Caenorhabditis elegans: one gene and its partners. The protein of the gene in region 2 interacts with the protein of the main gene of each other region in a pairwise test. Each region holds a gene or a part of one and is shown on either strand. Other genes may lie near its edges. The genes, in order: lrx-1, F46H5.3 and tap-1.

What was found.
Region 1: the proteins of F46H5.3 (region 2) and lrx-1 interact in a two-hybrid assay, tested with the Caenorhabditis elegans proteins (one large-scale study listed by BioGRID).
Region 3: the proteins of F46H5.3 (region 2) and tap-1 interact in a two-hybrid assay, tested with the Caenorhabditis elegans proteins (one large-scale study listed by BioGRID).

Annotation. Positions count from the first base shown.
Region 1 is NC_003283.11:12,251,025-12,256,093, forward strand, and holds lrx-1 (LRP X(cross)-hybridizing), read left to right. Parts: upstream 1-1,660; 5' UTR 1,661-1,753; coding exon 1,754-1,840; intron 1,841-2,337; coding exon 2,338-2,442; intron 2,443-2,524; coding exon 2,525-2,809; intron 2,810-2,991; coding exon 2,992-3,121; intron 3,122-3,321; coding exon 3,322-3,447; intron 3,448-3,494; coding exon 3,495-3,629; intron 3,630-3,675; coding exon 3,676-3,792; intron 3,793-4,248; coding exon 4,249-4,370; 3' UTR 4,371-4,426; downstream 4,427-5,069. Other genes in the region: rad-50 (Zinc-hook domain-containing protein), read left to right, coding at 1-35; T04H1.5 (G patch domain-containing protein 11), read left to right, coding at 323-497, 548-1,103, 1,187-1,325; T04H1.12 (Activin_recp domain-containing protein), read left to right, coding at 4,619-4,805.
Region 2 is NC_003284.9:7,235,546-7,240,250, reverse strand, and holds the start of F46H5.3 (putative arginine kinase F46H5.3), read left to right. Parts: upstream 1-1,588; coding exon 1,589-1,627; intron 1,628-3,205; exon of another isoform or gene 3,206-3,349; intron 3,350-4,705. Other genes in the region: F46H5.7 (AMPK1_CBM domain-containing protein), read left to right, coding at 1-164, 409-426, 666-746, 797-956, 1,000-1,088, 1,136-1,241.
Region 3 is NC_003284.9:14,587,738-14,592,414, reverse strand, and holds tap-1 (TGF-beta-activated kinase 1 and MAP3K7-binding protein 1), read right to left. Parts: upstream 2,792-4,677; 5' UTR 2,758-2,791; coding exon 2,621-2,757; intron 2,261-2,620; coding exon 2,125-2,260; intron 2,081-2,124; coding exon 1,937-2,080; intron 1,893-1,936; coding exon 1,816-1,892; intron 1,763-1,815; coding exon 1,654-1,762; intron 1,610-1,653; coding exon 1,484-1,609; intron 1,311-1,483; coding exon 1,225-1,310; intron 1,130-1,224; coding exon 1,033-1,129; intron 880-1,032; coding exon 631-879; 3' UTR 594-630; downstream 1-593. Other genes in the region: bltp-3B (Chorein N-terminal domain-containing protein), read left to right, coding at 3,329-3,372, 3,661-3,766, 3,815-3,910, 4,136-4,209, 4,260-4,377, 4,427-4,537. UniProt on the Caenorhabditis elegans protein: Involved in the Wnt signaling pathway by regulating mom-4 kinase activity.

The DNA of each region.
Region 1 (5,069 bases), on a different chromosome or scaffold from region 2:
CAGTGAAAAGAGTTAATACGAAGAGACGGTTCTAGAATGGTATTGAAGAATCTCAATAGTACAAATAATATTTTACGGTCTCAAAATTGATTCGCTCACCTTTTAATTATGTTTTATGCTTTGTCAGATCATTCCCGAGTTTCCAAATGTTGTTACCTCATGTTTTATATTTTACGAGATGAACCCGATGCATCGGCCGATGTGAAATGAAAAATATTTTCTAACTGTTTCAATATTCTAATGCGTTTTTTGCTACGCTTTTGTTTCTTTCTTCTTGTTAAAAGCTAACCTTATTCATAAAAAATTTCGATTCAAGATCAGAATGTCTGACGATGAGGATGACTACATGTCTGCTGAAATTCTCCAAGGAGTTAGTGAACAACCAGTTGGAATTGCAAAATCTAGAGCTCACAAGCGAGAACTACAAATAAATTCAAGATTTGAAGAGTCCAGAGACACGTTTAAACCAAAAAGGCCAACTAGTCATGCTGAGCGAGGTTTGTAAATCGTAGTATATTATTTTTGTAGTTTACCAAATAAATTTCAGAAAAAGAACGTCGCGACGAGGCGCTCGCAAAACCGATTAGCCACGAATCGAAAGGATTTGCATTGATGGCAAAAATGGGATTCAAACCTGGTATGACATTGGGAAAGCAAAGAGAAGACGAAATTCGAATTACGGAACCAATTGGTGTCGATATCAAGGCTAATAGGAAGGGACTTGGGCACGAGGTTGAAGCAGTTCAAGAACGCAATGAACGAGTTGAGGCTGTAATGCAAAAAATGAAAGAACAAGCGGCAAAGCATGAAGAGCTGATCGATGACTATTCCAAACGGCGGAAGCTTGATGCCAACTCAAAGCAATTAGTCAAAGACATCAGATCTTGTCGAAAGGTGTGCGAAGAGTTGGATCATCGAATTGGAAAAAAAGTTCCCAGTGTTTCGTGGTTTTGGAGAAGTTATAAAGTTGCTCAAGAGGAAACTACATCTTACCATAAAAAAGTTGAAAAAGAAGATGAAGAATATAAGTACTCAAATGGTTTAGCAGCTCCAGAAGATCCGAATTATGATTTCACAATGTCAACGGAAATTTTAGAAGAAGCGTAAGTTTTTGTTTTGTAGATAAGGTTTCAATGAGCGTTATTTATCCAAACCGACAATAGTATTAAATATGCGTTTATTTCAGACTTTCCACTATCAACAATTATCTTCGAGATGGTCACTTCTATTGTATTTGGTGCGGAGCCAACTTTTCCTCGCCAGAAGATATGATCGAACATTGTCCTGGGAGCACTCGTCGAGCACATCATGGAGAAGATGAATAGATTAATTATTTTCATAAAATCTCAATTCTTGATGTATATACTATGAATCCTTTTTTATAACCAAGTTCGTGTCCTAACATCGTGTCACTTTTTTTTTTTGCTTTTTTGCTTCATTATTGTCTGCTCCTGTGTTGTTTCTCAAGGTGGGAACGTATCAAGTGACAAGTGACCACTAGTCAGTCAGCTTGAAGTGGCGATCAGTTGCCGCGCACCACCAGTAGCCCCCAACAGCGCGAAAAGCTTCTTTAGCGATAGAAAAGAACACAAACAATTGAAAAAGAAGAAAGTCCAGTGCACACACGACACTTGTGCTTCTTCAGCTACAGTCTTCAGTGGGCAGCAACATCAAGTTCCACCATCTTTATCATCTGCTCATCCATTCTCTCGATCTGTTCCGGTAAATTTGATTGCCAATCATTTTGCAAATCATGGCATGGTTAACGTCCATATTTTTCATTCTTCTAGCCGTTCAACCGGTTCTTCCACAGGATCTATATGGCACAGCAACTCAGCAGGTACAGTGAACTGTTCAAAAATTTGTAGCATTTGTTCTTATTTCTCTTTCTCAAAGTTTCTAATGCTTAGGGTCTCACCACGACCAAGATATTGTTCAAATGAAGGGCTCGCCAAGGGATTTGCACCTATAAGGAGTACTGTAGTTCAAGTTCAAGTTTTTTTTTCAATTTTTCCTCGTTCGTTCCGATTTTAATGCTTTATTTCTAACTATTTGTTTCGTATTTACATATAAATCGGTATGAGCTACAAGGAAAATATTTATGTAAAATCGAAAAAATTGTGAAATGAGTCGCACTACAGTACTATTTAAAATCACCGTATTTAAAATATTTCTGTCGTATCGAGACCTAATTTTGACAAAAAATCGCACAAAAAATCATTATGGTTTTAGGCAACATAAAGATTCCAATTGGATTCACAGACGATTTAAAAACTTAATTTTGAAAAAAATCAAAACAATCGTTTTTCTTTAGTGAATTGTATAAATATTTTCCAGCAGCCTTATCCATATGTACAACCTAGTGCTTCGTCTGGTTCTGGAGGCTACGTTCCAAATCCTCAATCAAGCATTCATACTGTTCAGCAGCCATATCCAAATATTGTAAGTTATAAAGGCTTGGGCCAGGGCCGAGGATAGGTCTATATTTGTTTACATTACCAGAATATCAAGAAACAATATTTAGGATGTAGTCGAACCAGATGTGGATAGTGTAGACATTTATGAAACTGAAGAACCTCAATTTAAAGTTGTGAACCCTGTATTTCCACTTGGTGGATCTGGAATCGTTGAACCTGGTACAATCCCACCACCAATGCCTCAAACTCAAGCTCCAGAAAAACCAGACAACAGCTATGCAATTAACTATTGTGATAAACGAGAATTCCCAGATGATGTACTAGCACAATATGGATTAGAAAGGATTGATTATTTTGTATACAACACTTCATGCTCTCATGTTTTCTTCCAGGTAATTTTTTGGAAATTATTTTTCTGAAATACAGAAATAGTTGAACAAATGTATAATTTAAAGTATTGAAACTTATCTTTATTGTATGCACGAAATAAGCTATTTTTATTTGTATGCTATCAATATTTATATTTCTACAGTCAATAGATTTCTGAAATTCCGAACTTCTTTCATATTTTCAGTGTTCAATTGGCCAGACTTTTCCTCTGGCGTGTATGTCCGAAGATCAAGCATTTGATAAGTCTACTGAAAATTGTAATCACAAGAATGCTATTAAATTCTGTCCAGAATACGATCATGTCATGCACTGTAGTAAGTCATTCAATTAAGAGTATGTATAAAATTTCATATGGCGTTGATGCACCATGAGGTGCGCTTGAAAGTTTGTAAATCTGCAATTTTCTGATTTTGATTTTATGGAAACTTAATTATTTCATCGATTTTTTCTCGAAATCTATAAAATATATTTATTTACAAAAAGCTCCAATATAAAATAGTGTTTGATATTGCAGCAATCAAAGACACCTGTACTGAAAATGAGTTTGCTTGTTGTGCAATGCCTCAATCCTGTATCCATGTGAGCAAACGTTGTGATGGTCACCCAGACTGTGCCGATGGGGAAGATGAGAACAATTGTCGTAAGTTACTCATTACAACAATTGCCAATTAAATTGAAAACCTTTAGCATCGTGTGCACGTGATGAGTTTGCATGTGTGAAGAGTGAACATTGTATTCCTGCAAACAAAAGATGTGACGGTGTGGCTGATGATTGTGAAGATGGATCGAATCTTGATGAAATTGGATGCAGTAAAAATACAAGTAATTTTTACTTTTTAAAATGTACTTTATAACAAAGTAATTAAAGCTTGTATTGGAAAGTTCGTCTGTGGAACATCGCGTGGAGGTGTTTCATGTGTGGATTTAGATATGCATTGTGATGGAAAGAAAGATTGTTTAAATGGAGAAGATGAAATGAATTGTAGTAAGTTTTTTTCTGCCTCCCTTCTTCTCACCCGGAAAACACCTCTGGAAAGTTATAAGTGGCGAAATAATGTACAGTACTTCCTCTAATAATATCGCATCCTACTATTTCACTTTAAAAGGTTATACCTCGGTTCAATTTAAAGATATTGAACATATTTTTCAATAAATAATTGACTGCAAACGATAGAAAAAAGTTTTCAAAAAATTGTCAAATGACAATTTTTAAATAGGAGAAAAGACAACTGAGATATTTAATTGTCAAAGTCTAACATTGGGAGTGCAACATTAATAGAAATACATACAATTTGGAATGTCTTTCTTAACTATAACCACACATTTTGGCACAACTTCAATGTGCGAACTTTTTCTTGTTCGAGACAAAAACATAGGAAAAAAAGTATTTTTAGCCAAGTGTCCAAATAAACACTGACGAATACTACACTTGTTATTTCAGAACAAGAAGGACGCCAAAAATATTTGCTCTGCGAGAATCAAAAACAATCAGTGACACGTCTACAATGGTGTAATGGAGAAACAGATTGTGCTGATGGATCTGATGAAAAATATTGTTACTAGATACTGCTGAACTTCTTGTCGATTTCCCTTAATTTATAAATAAATACATGAATGTCATTGCTTCTTGAAATATTCTTTCAAATTATTTGACAAAACGATTAGTTTCGCTTTGAAAATTTGACGGAAAAGAGGTCGAAAAGGGTGGGGACTGGTTATTTTTCAAGGTTTACTGTTTCTCTTTTTCTCTTCTTTTTGTTACTCTTACCCCTTTTCAACTTTGACACCGAAAGTCAACCAGTGTTAGACTCATGAGTATTTCCGTATATTCTGTTACTATTTTCACACTTTTGACATTACTTCCGTTAATATGTATATCACTGGAGTGCATCAACTCAACATCATACATGGACAGAGTTCTCGTCAAACCAATGAGCTCACATTGTCGTTTGAATAATGCACTTTGTGTGAAGACAATGCAAATTAGTCAGAATTCTGGTATGCACATATTTTTTGAAGTTGGAACTTTTAATATTGATCATTTCGTATTGACCGTCTCCGACTCAATATTTTTTGTTCCAACATTGATTAACTACCATTAACTGTCATTAAGTTCTGGTCCAAAAAATTGAATCAGAAGTTGGCAGAAGTTTGAACAAAGTTGAGCTAAAATTTTTAAAATTTTTGGCGCGCTCAAAACCAAATATTTCTTAAGTTTTACCAAAGTCTTGCCAATTTTTGAACAAATTATATAATTGGTCC
Region 2 (4,705 bases):
TGGGAGATCAACGAAGAGAAGAGCAAGCTGGAGTGGCGTCTCGGTGAGCTCTCCCAATGGTGGAACGATGCAAAGTGGAAGGTCGGCGAGTTGGAATCCTCTGTTGCCCTACAGAGAAATTTGCTTGACACGGCAAACTCGAAGATTCAAAGCCTTAATGATCAGTGAGTTTTCTTTGGAGTTGGGGTCAGAGCAATACGAGATTGAATGTTTCATGAATTTAAAATATCAAAAACGGCGCTTGTAAATCATTTCATTACATAAAAATAAAAACGAAAAATTGCATGAACATCTTTGATCACTTTCTAGAATTACCCAAAAAAGGACTTTATAAAAATCAAAAACTGAATAAATTTTCAAAATAACAGATAGGAAACTTTAAAGAATTTTTTCATATTTCATTTTTAGGTTAATACAGGAAGTGAGGTAAGGAATACAGATTTTATTGAACTACTTGTAACTTAACGTCTGGAAAGCAATGCACTTTATATTTTTTTTTCTGAAATTTGCGGAGTAGTTGAATTGAAAACAATACTAACTATGTTTTGTTTTTCTTATTTAATTTTTAAAAATTGAAACGAGTGTACAGTGTATTTGACGGTGTGAATATAGTGTTCCTCATCCAAAGCAATATTTCATTCGAAATCGAAATTCCAATAATTTAGGAGTCACTCCAGCACCATGACCATTCCCACCGACGGATTCACCATTAGCCAAAGCAACCAAGGAACTTGGAACCTTGCCAAGTAAGTTATACCAGTGGTTCTCTTGATATCACTATTCCAAGTATTTGCAGCGGAAGTAACCAGCCATGTTTCACCGGAGCCATCCCATCCATCCCACTTGTCTCAGCCCTGCCATTCGCCGGAGCCAATCCATTCATTTTTGGGGGAGCTAACGAAGGAAGAAATGTAACGTTGACCATTTCGAACACAGAGCAGGAAGTTTACTTGACGGTAAGTTTTTTTTTGCCAAATAGGTCTTCATTTGATTTTTCAGGGAAGTTTTATCAACTGGAAATGCACATTGAAATGCGAGAAACTGGTTAGCGGCAAGAAAGGAGTCACGGTCAATTTGACGCGTGGAAGGTAACAACATTCAAATTCAAAACACAAATTTCAAGTAATAATTTTAGACACGAGTTCCGATTCATGATCAATGGCGAATGGGCGACGTCGAGCGACTATCAACAGGTGCCAAACGGTTTGGGCGGACAGAATAACATTATTTTTGTCGAATAATAATTATTCCCTTGATCACTTAAATTGAATTATTTTTTCTTACCTGTCAACTTTGTTTCCATTTACTTCTCCTCATTTTTTGTATCTTTATTTCTTGTTTGTATTACATACCACTCCATTCAAACTTATGCAGTTAACCACTCTATTCACTAGATTGTGTTTAGAAAATTGTGAAGATTCTGAATTTTTTCGGGACTTTTGGCATTGCCATGATGTGAATGAATATTTTCGGTTAATATTAATTCAGATTTCAAATAACTTTTGTTCAATATGTAAAGTTTTTTTACTTAATTTTTAATAATTGGTTGTTTTTTCTCAATTTTCCGAATTAAATTTTTCAATAGAAGATGTTACATCGATGCTCGAGAGTATTGTCACAATTTTTGGTAGGTACTTTGCAGTGGTTTTGTTTCACGTTGACAACTACCCTCAATACATAATATGGCGTTTTATGAAAAAATTATAAAGAAGTTAACATATACTTTCGGGCACAATTTTTGCAGTACTCTAACTATGTACTTGATTGAAATCTCAGCAATCAAGTAAGGAGCAAATAATTCAATTAATAAGTTCCATCCTCTTTTATTTAAAATAGTGTTTTTGCGCATTAATTGATTAACTTTAGAAAAAAATCAACAAACAAACAAATTTGGAAAATGTAAAAGTTTGTTGAAGATCTAATTTTTTCCAAGATAAATTAATTAATTTACAGAAAAGTTTTTTGTCCTATATCTTTTATTTAAATGTTTTTTTTTTCAAAAAGTTAAAATCAAAATATTCAAAAATATTATGAAAATGTGCTATTCAAACTGACGTCCTACACGTTTTCAAAAATTTCAAACTTTAAAACACATTTCCATATTCACCACTAGAAAAATATATATTTTTTTAAAGTAATCAGGTGTTAGTACTTGGAGTCTAAAATTTGCAAAATTGAAAGACTTGAGATAAAAATGAAAATGACGAATAATTGAGAATGTGCAAGAAATATTTTAATTAAAGGCTTCGCATGTGTGCTGAGTGTTTTCAATGTGTTCCATCTTTGTGTGTGGCTTATTTTTCAACAAATTTTTTTTCGACATTTGTTTTTTTTTCGCAGAAAAATAATATGAAAGTTTTGCATTAAAAAATGTGTTGATCAAAAATCTTTTCAAAAGGTAAAAAGGCAACTTTATTTTTGTCTGATATATAACATTTTGAAACACCTGCAAATGAAAACGCAGTCAAATTCCCATTGCACAATGTCTATTCGATTGCTGACAAAAATATACTTTCAGTATTCAAATTAACGTTAATGGCTCTTTTTGTTTGTTTACACTCCCAAAAAAACATTGTGTTCGTTCGAACCAACTGTAATAGGTATGAGCCTATTTCAATAATTATATTTTTGTTTAATTCCAGCAACAATAGTTTTTTATTTGGTGACACGATACATAATTTGTTTGTTAATCTGGTATTTTTGGAGTTTATTCCAATTTTGATTTCGCGCAATCAATGCAGTGAAATAAACTTTGTAAAATAGAAAAAAAGACTCTGGAAAGCTTGGTGATTATGTTCATAGCTAAAAATATCACAAGTAGGTTGATGTTTATGTCTAGATTGAGAATTAAATTATCTTGATAAAATCCACCATTTTTTAAAAACATTTTTCTCAACTTGAATATTGTCTAAATTATAAATTTTTAGTTAAATGTTCTATTTTTCTACTTTTCAATATAATTTGTAAAAATGTATTTTCCAAATTCTCTTGTTTTAGAAAATCCCCAAATCATTCAATTTTCAAATAACTCGGAAAAACTCAAAGTTTTATTACGCGGAGATCAACCTTCCTTCTATCTTCCTGTCTTCTCATGTAACTTCTTATCCCGTATCCCTTTTTATCACTTTTTCTGACTGTTTTCTACTGGCTCATCACAACGTTGCGTGAGCCTTTGGCCGATAGAGGTTAACTGTGTAAAGCATGTTCGGCAACTTCGGGAAAGATGGATGCCGATGAGAGCAGGAACAGATGGCATTCGACGGCAATGAAATAGCAGATGGCGGTATGAGAGTCTTTTGAACCTCATCCTCGTCGGCTACCACTTTCTTTCTTTTCACAACATTTTTTTGCCATACTCTCCGATGGCCGGAAAACAATTGTTGTGTAATATCCAGCGTTTGCGTGAGCCACCGAGTCTTGTGTCAATTCGAGTAGAGGAAAAAAGTGAAGAGAAATAAATTACCCATGTGTCAATTGTCGTTGGTCAAAGAACTAGACTGAAGAAACAAGAAAACGACCCAGAACCAGGAAATAACACGAGAAATGATGAACCTGTTATTTAGAGGAAGAAGAACCGTTCGAAATTGTTGCTCAAAGAGACAAAAAATAGTCTGAAAATGGTGCATTCCATTATGAGACTTTTCAAAAATCTCTCGGACACATTGTTGCAGTCTAAAAGTAACGTGGGTGAACGCAGAAAAAATCTTCAATTTTTCCATATGGATGTGTCGGCTGGATAAAAAGCAGGGCTACATGTAGATATGCATAACAAGTGAAGTCTAACAAGTTGTTTTTGGCGATAAATGCTGAATCGCAAGCCACTCACAAACTAATTATTTTATGGAAGTACAGAAAAAAAATTATTCAATGCCACGAGATTTGAGAAGAAATCAAAATTTTAAAAATTGGACTTTTGCACACCTTTCAATTTTTTGTGTGTTTTTTTTTAAGTGGAAAATCTAACGAGTAACTGAAAGTAAATATCTTTTCGAACAATTGAAATGAGAAAGTGTATAAGTATTGAAAAATCTTTTTTTTTAACTTTGATTACTTTTGCTTCTCGAGTTAATAATGGGTAAATTTACAGATTTGTCATAACATACAACTTGTGCTTGTTTCAAGCAAAATGTTTGAAACTTAATAATTTTTGGCAATCGAACCAATCGAGAATTACCTTTTTCAGTTTTGCACACCCCACTTTAATAGTATTTTTTCACCTCGGCACATCTTGAAATTGTAGTAATAATAATTCAGTACAGAAATAAAAGAAAAAGGTTAAGTTTGTTGTGAATTATACATTTTTACATAGGACACAAAAGAAATAAAATCCCCCGAAGATTAATAATGGTGCGTTTATTAATAGAGGTTATAATGTTTTTTTTCAACAGCGCATAACTGTGTGTGTGTTTCAATTTTTTTTTTAATTTTGTAGCGAGGCAATTGAAAATATTTATTCAGATAGTATTATTTTCCAAAATGAAAGGATGAAACCGTGGGGAGGAGGCGTGAAAATAGATAATCCTTGTTGTGATTAGTGGCACATTCAAATATATTCGATAAGCCGTATTTGGGACAATGGTTGCCAAGACGACGAATACCTGAATTTTATCCAAATCTGAACGAATATTTGGCAGTGTTATTTTTACCTTGATACTTATCAACCTGAAGCTAAAGTAATCTGTTTTTGTTCATATCCAGGCTCAAC
Region 3 (4,677 bases), 7.4 Mb from region 2:
ACAGAATTTGCGTCTTGTTTTTTGAAATGCAGAAAAAGACCAATACGGAAAAATCTAGTCTCAAAATCAGGACAAAAGCGTTGATGTGAAATTCAAGAAATTTGATCTCACACCAGCTCAAGCAACTCCTCCCCCGCATCTCTCGTCAGAGATTTTTTTTTCAAAATAAAACAAAGAAATAGGAAAAGAAAAGTTTAGATCTATGTAGTAGCAACAATAGAAATTATTTTGACGGTCGACTTGAAAAATGTTTCTTGATCTTTTCAAAATTGTTCCCAGAGTTGAGATTGGTAGCTTCCACGTAAGGTGTCGAACAGGGCACACAAGTGGTGTCAGAGTTACTCATTTTGGTTTGATCTACGTAGATCAATAATACAAAAAATGCGGGAGAAGGGGACGCAGAGTTCTCCACTGATTTCGTATGGTTAAGAACGCGCTGACGTCGCATTTTTTTTGGGCGAAAAAATCCCGCTATTTTTCTAGATCAATCCGTGATGGGACATCCTGGCACATGGCACCACATAGGCACATATAACGTTACATTTGTAATGAAAGCATCATAATCATACTCCCCGCAAAAATAACACATAATACATGATAACAAATATTTATATTTACTAGCAACAATATTTATTTTGAAGGTCGAGTTAGAAGTAGTTTCTTCATCTTTTCATAATTTTTTCCAGAATTGAAGTTGGTAGCATCGACATATGGTGTCGAGCAGGGCTCATACAATGTTGCATTTGTAGATTCCATTGTCGAAATCGCTGAATCGAATTGTTCGTAAAGAGCCGCTTGGTAATCTTCCTCGAGCTTCACATAAATCACAGTCATTTCCTCTCTGTGATTACTGATACAGAAATTTTTATCGTCGCTCATCTGAAAATAAAATAAAAATAATATGGCAATGTGGAATAGCAAAATACATCCGCCCAATGTTTGAACAAATTTAATTGAATTGAGAAGAAATAGGTAAAATTTTGTAAATTGTATTCAAATTTGCTTATCTAAAAAAGGGTAAATCCAACAAACCGTGTAAGCATCGCGATGCTTTCTTGCAAACGAGTCTACCAATGCCTGCGCTGTACTTGTAACTGTGTGATCTTCAATTAGTCGAACGGATACTTCTCTGAAAACTGGGGAATCGATGAAAATTTTATTTTTTATTTTTATAAACGTGTGACTTGGTTATTGACGAAAAAGTTCCATAAGTTTGCTACTTACGTTGGGATGTTTTCAACTTCAACTTCCTTAAGATTCTGAACTACACCGTCGGAGATCAGAACCAAATGTCTCCAGGATGGGTCGATCTAAAAGTAGAAGTTACCTGTTGGTTGGAAAATAAGCATTTAAAAAAAGAAAAGAAAACATGTTCTCATTTTGTAATCAAATCTGAGGTGTTGTGACTAATATTTTCATTGAATTTGATCTTTTATCTTGTTTTTCGTAAAATGTTCCAGAACAACATTTCATCATAGCAAACCTTTGTATACTGAACATCTGGAGTAGAAATAACCGGTGGTCCTTTTGCATTCTTGAAAGCTTCCGTCTCTTCAAACAGGTGGGTTCGTTGTAAGTCACCGATCGCTCTAGTTGGATTCAGAACTGTCTGTAAACTTATTTTGTAAAATTATTACAAAAAAAATTAATTACCTCCGGATTAATCCCTAGCCCTTTTATTCGTACAATCTCCAAAGGATTGTCATTATTGTGTAGATTTGAGTTGAGCTGCACTACGTTCTCACTGTTCATAGCAATTGCGCTGAAAGTTTTTTTTTTTCAAAAATTCCTAACAAACAGTTTCAAAAATCTTACAGAGAGTTTCCGCAATTTAGCACATATAGGTCCTGGTTAATGATCATGACTACTATGGCAGTGGTACCTTGGCGAATCTGAAAATTTGGGAGATTATAATAATTTCAAAATTTAGTCTAACTTTTTGATTGATTTCCGATACTGCATTATTTCCAGTTTCCGACTGTTCCTCCAACTTTAACAGTCGATTGTTCAAATCATCGGTGTTCATCAACAAATAACGCTCGGCAACGTTTTCAAATTTCCGTTTAAATTCTTCCACCACCTGAAAATGTAGTTGTAGAGTTGAAAATTTGATTGTTAAATCACTTGATAAGGGAGTAGTGTTGGTGTAATTGGATTTTCTCCAAAAATCTCATATACCAATCTGTTCATGACAAACTTCGCTGTTGAATCGCCACCATTAAATCCGGAAAAAATACCGTAGAGTTTGATGGGTCCATTGCTGAAAAATGAAAATTTGTTAACTTTTACTATTAATGTAATCTACTAATCTGTGTCTACATGATCTTTCATGTTTTAACAAAAAATTACGATAAATATAGTTTTATTTTTTAATTGATGTACTTGTGACATTTACTTCCTTGCAAACAAATTGTATTTAACACCTTCAATGTATCGTTCCAAAACTTTCTCTTTTCATTTTTTGTTCATTGTGTTACTAGACAAGGAAAGTGTAAAAATTGCATTTTCCCACGTAATCGTTCAGTTTATTTTCCACTGAATTGCTGTAAAATTTGACTTTTTTCCTAATTAAGATCGGTTTATGTTTCATTTTGCAACAAAAAAAGTAGAATAAACTCACTGTATGCACATGGAGCACGATAAAAAATCGTTGTTCTGCACCGGATTTTTTTGTTTTGAGTAGCGGCAGCTGTGCACAGTGCCAATGCCCGCATCGGTGTTGGCAGGGTATTGATCGAGGAACCCGTCGTCCCCCATTTTGCCTGTGCTCTGCGACTGCTCTCCTGCTTATCTACAATCAAATTCACGATGAGTTAGAGAAATAATGACAGAGAAAACGATTAATACAAACGATAAACAAATTTGTTGATTGACTACTTCTACTTTCTTTTTTATTATATAAACGTTCAATGAGCAACAACAAAAAATTCTAATCAAATTATATTTTTATATTGAAATACAATTTAAAAAAAGGGAAAAATTCTAATTCTAATCTTCAAAATCTATATCCGGTCTTTTTTCTCACGCCAAAACGCGTTTCTATTCTTATCAAAAAGCAGCAATGGCTAGCCAAGCACAAACACGTTGAGAGAATTGGCATGCCGACGCGCGCACGCACCCTCCCAAGCATACACCGCCGCGTGTGCCAAACGCGCTCCATTGGCAAAAACCGATAGTCGCAATTTGGACAATTAATGCATTTTCGCATAAATAATGAGCACATTGTTTTTGATTCAATATGTTCTATTGATGATTTTCTGTGTATTTATGTAGTTTTTTGTAGTTCGCACCTGAAAATCGATTTTTTTTGCAGAATTGTACACCGAAGATGACGTCAATAATCAAAAACCAGCTAGTCAAACATTTATCCAAGTAAGTTAATTTTTGAGTGTATTGAAAAATATTAAAAATCGATGACAACGTCAAACATATTTTTTCTCAAATAATACCCTCCTTGTTTAGTTGATAAAATGGATGTTAAAATTTTTGTAACGCCACTGGGAATTTTGCCAAAATATGCTCCAAATCGCTTAAAAAAACCAAAAATATCTTGGTAATTGCTACTTGTGACAATAAGTATAAAATTTCAAATTTTTTTTGAAAAGTTTTACTATGGAATTTAATCAAGTTTGCACCCTCAAAAAATTCACTTTTTTTCAGATTCACAAAAAACTTGAAGCCCGAGCAGATATCCTTAGACGTGTTAAAAGGAAATAGTAAACTTCAGTTTATTGAAATTAACGAAGATGTTTTGACAGAGATTTTGGTGAGTTTTAAATGTACATGCTTTCCTTGCATAAACTCAAAATTTCAGGAGCTTCCTTCGTGGTTGAAAATCAAACGAGCATTCTGTACAGGTGTAGCTGTGAATGTACCATGGACCAAATTGAAAACTTGCCCAATTCAGATTGTAGGTTGTTTTCTTTTTTTTGAATTAGAAATTGAAGTAGACAAATTTATTCTCGTATTTTGAATAATTATATCAGACAAATTAAATCTGCCAAATGTTGCATTTTTGATAACGTTTTCTATTTTGTAAAAAAAAAGTTATAAATATTTTGAAAAGTGTCATAGTCTCACATAAACTCCTTTTTCATTCAAATTCATGCTTTTATAATCGTAAAAATAATTTCAGTTCATTGATGAAATCAATGTGGATGTGGAGCTTACCAATGAGCATAAAAAACAGGCAAAATCAAATCCACTTGGGTAAGCATAGTTCTACCATTTTCGAAATTAAACCCTTCACGTTTTTGCAGAAATCTCGGTGACAGCAGTTCATACGGCTTCATGAACAAAATCATCGAAAACATGTCTTTGTATATAAGTTCTGTAGAAATTAACTTTGATTCCGACGTATTCGGAGGCTCATTTATGGTTTGTGTTTGCTCAGCCGGAAAATGTTTTAATTAATGAAATTTTTCAGCTTCAACGATTGTCAGTGGAGAGCAGAAGTCCAGGATGGGCTCAAGTGAAAGACTTGCGTCAGACTAGAATTACGTGCTCGGAGACAAATAGAACATTGATGTTTAAGCAGGTGAATTTTTAAAAAGAAACATTTCTAGAATCAATTTGAATAATTATAAATCTAAAAATATCTCATCAAAGATGAATCTTAAAAAATGTGATTAGAAAAAAAATATTCAGGAAAAATACATAGTTGGATTTTTAAAATTT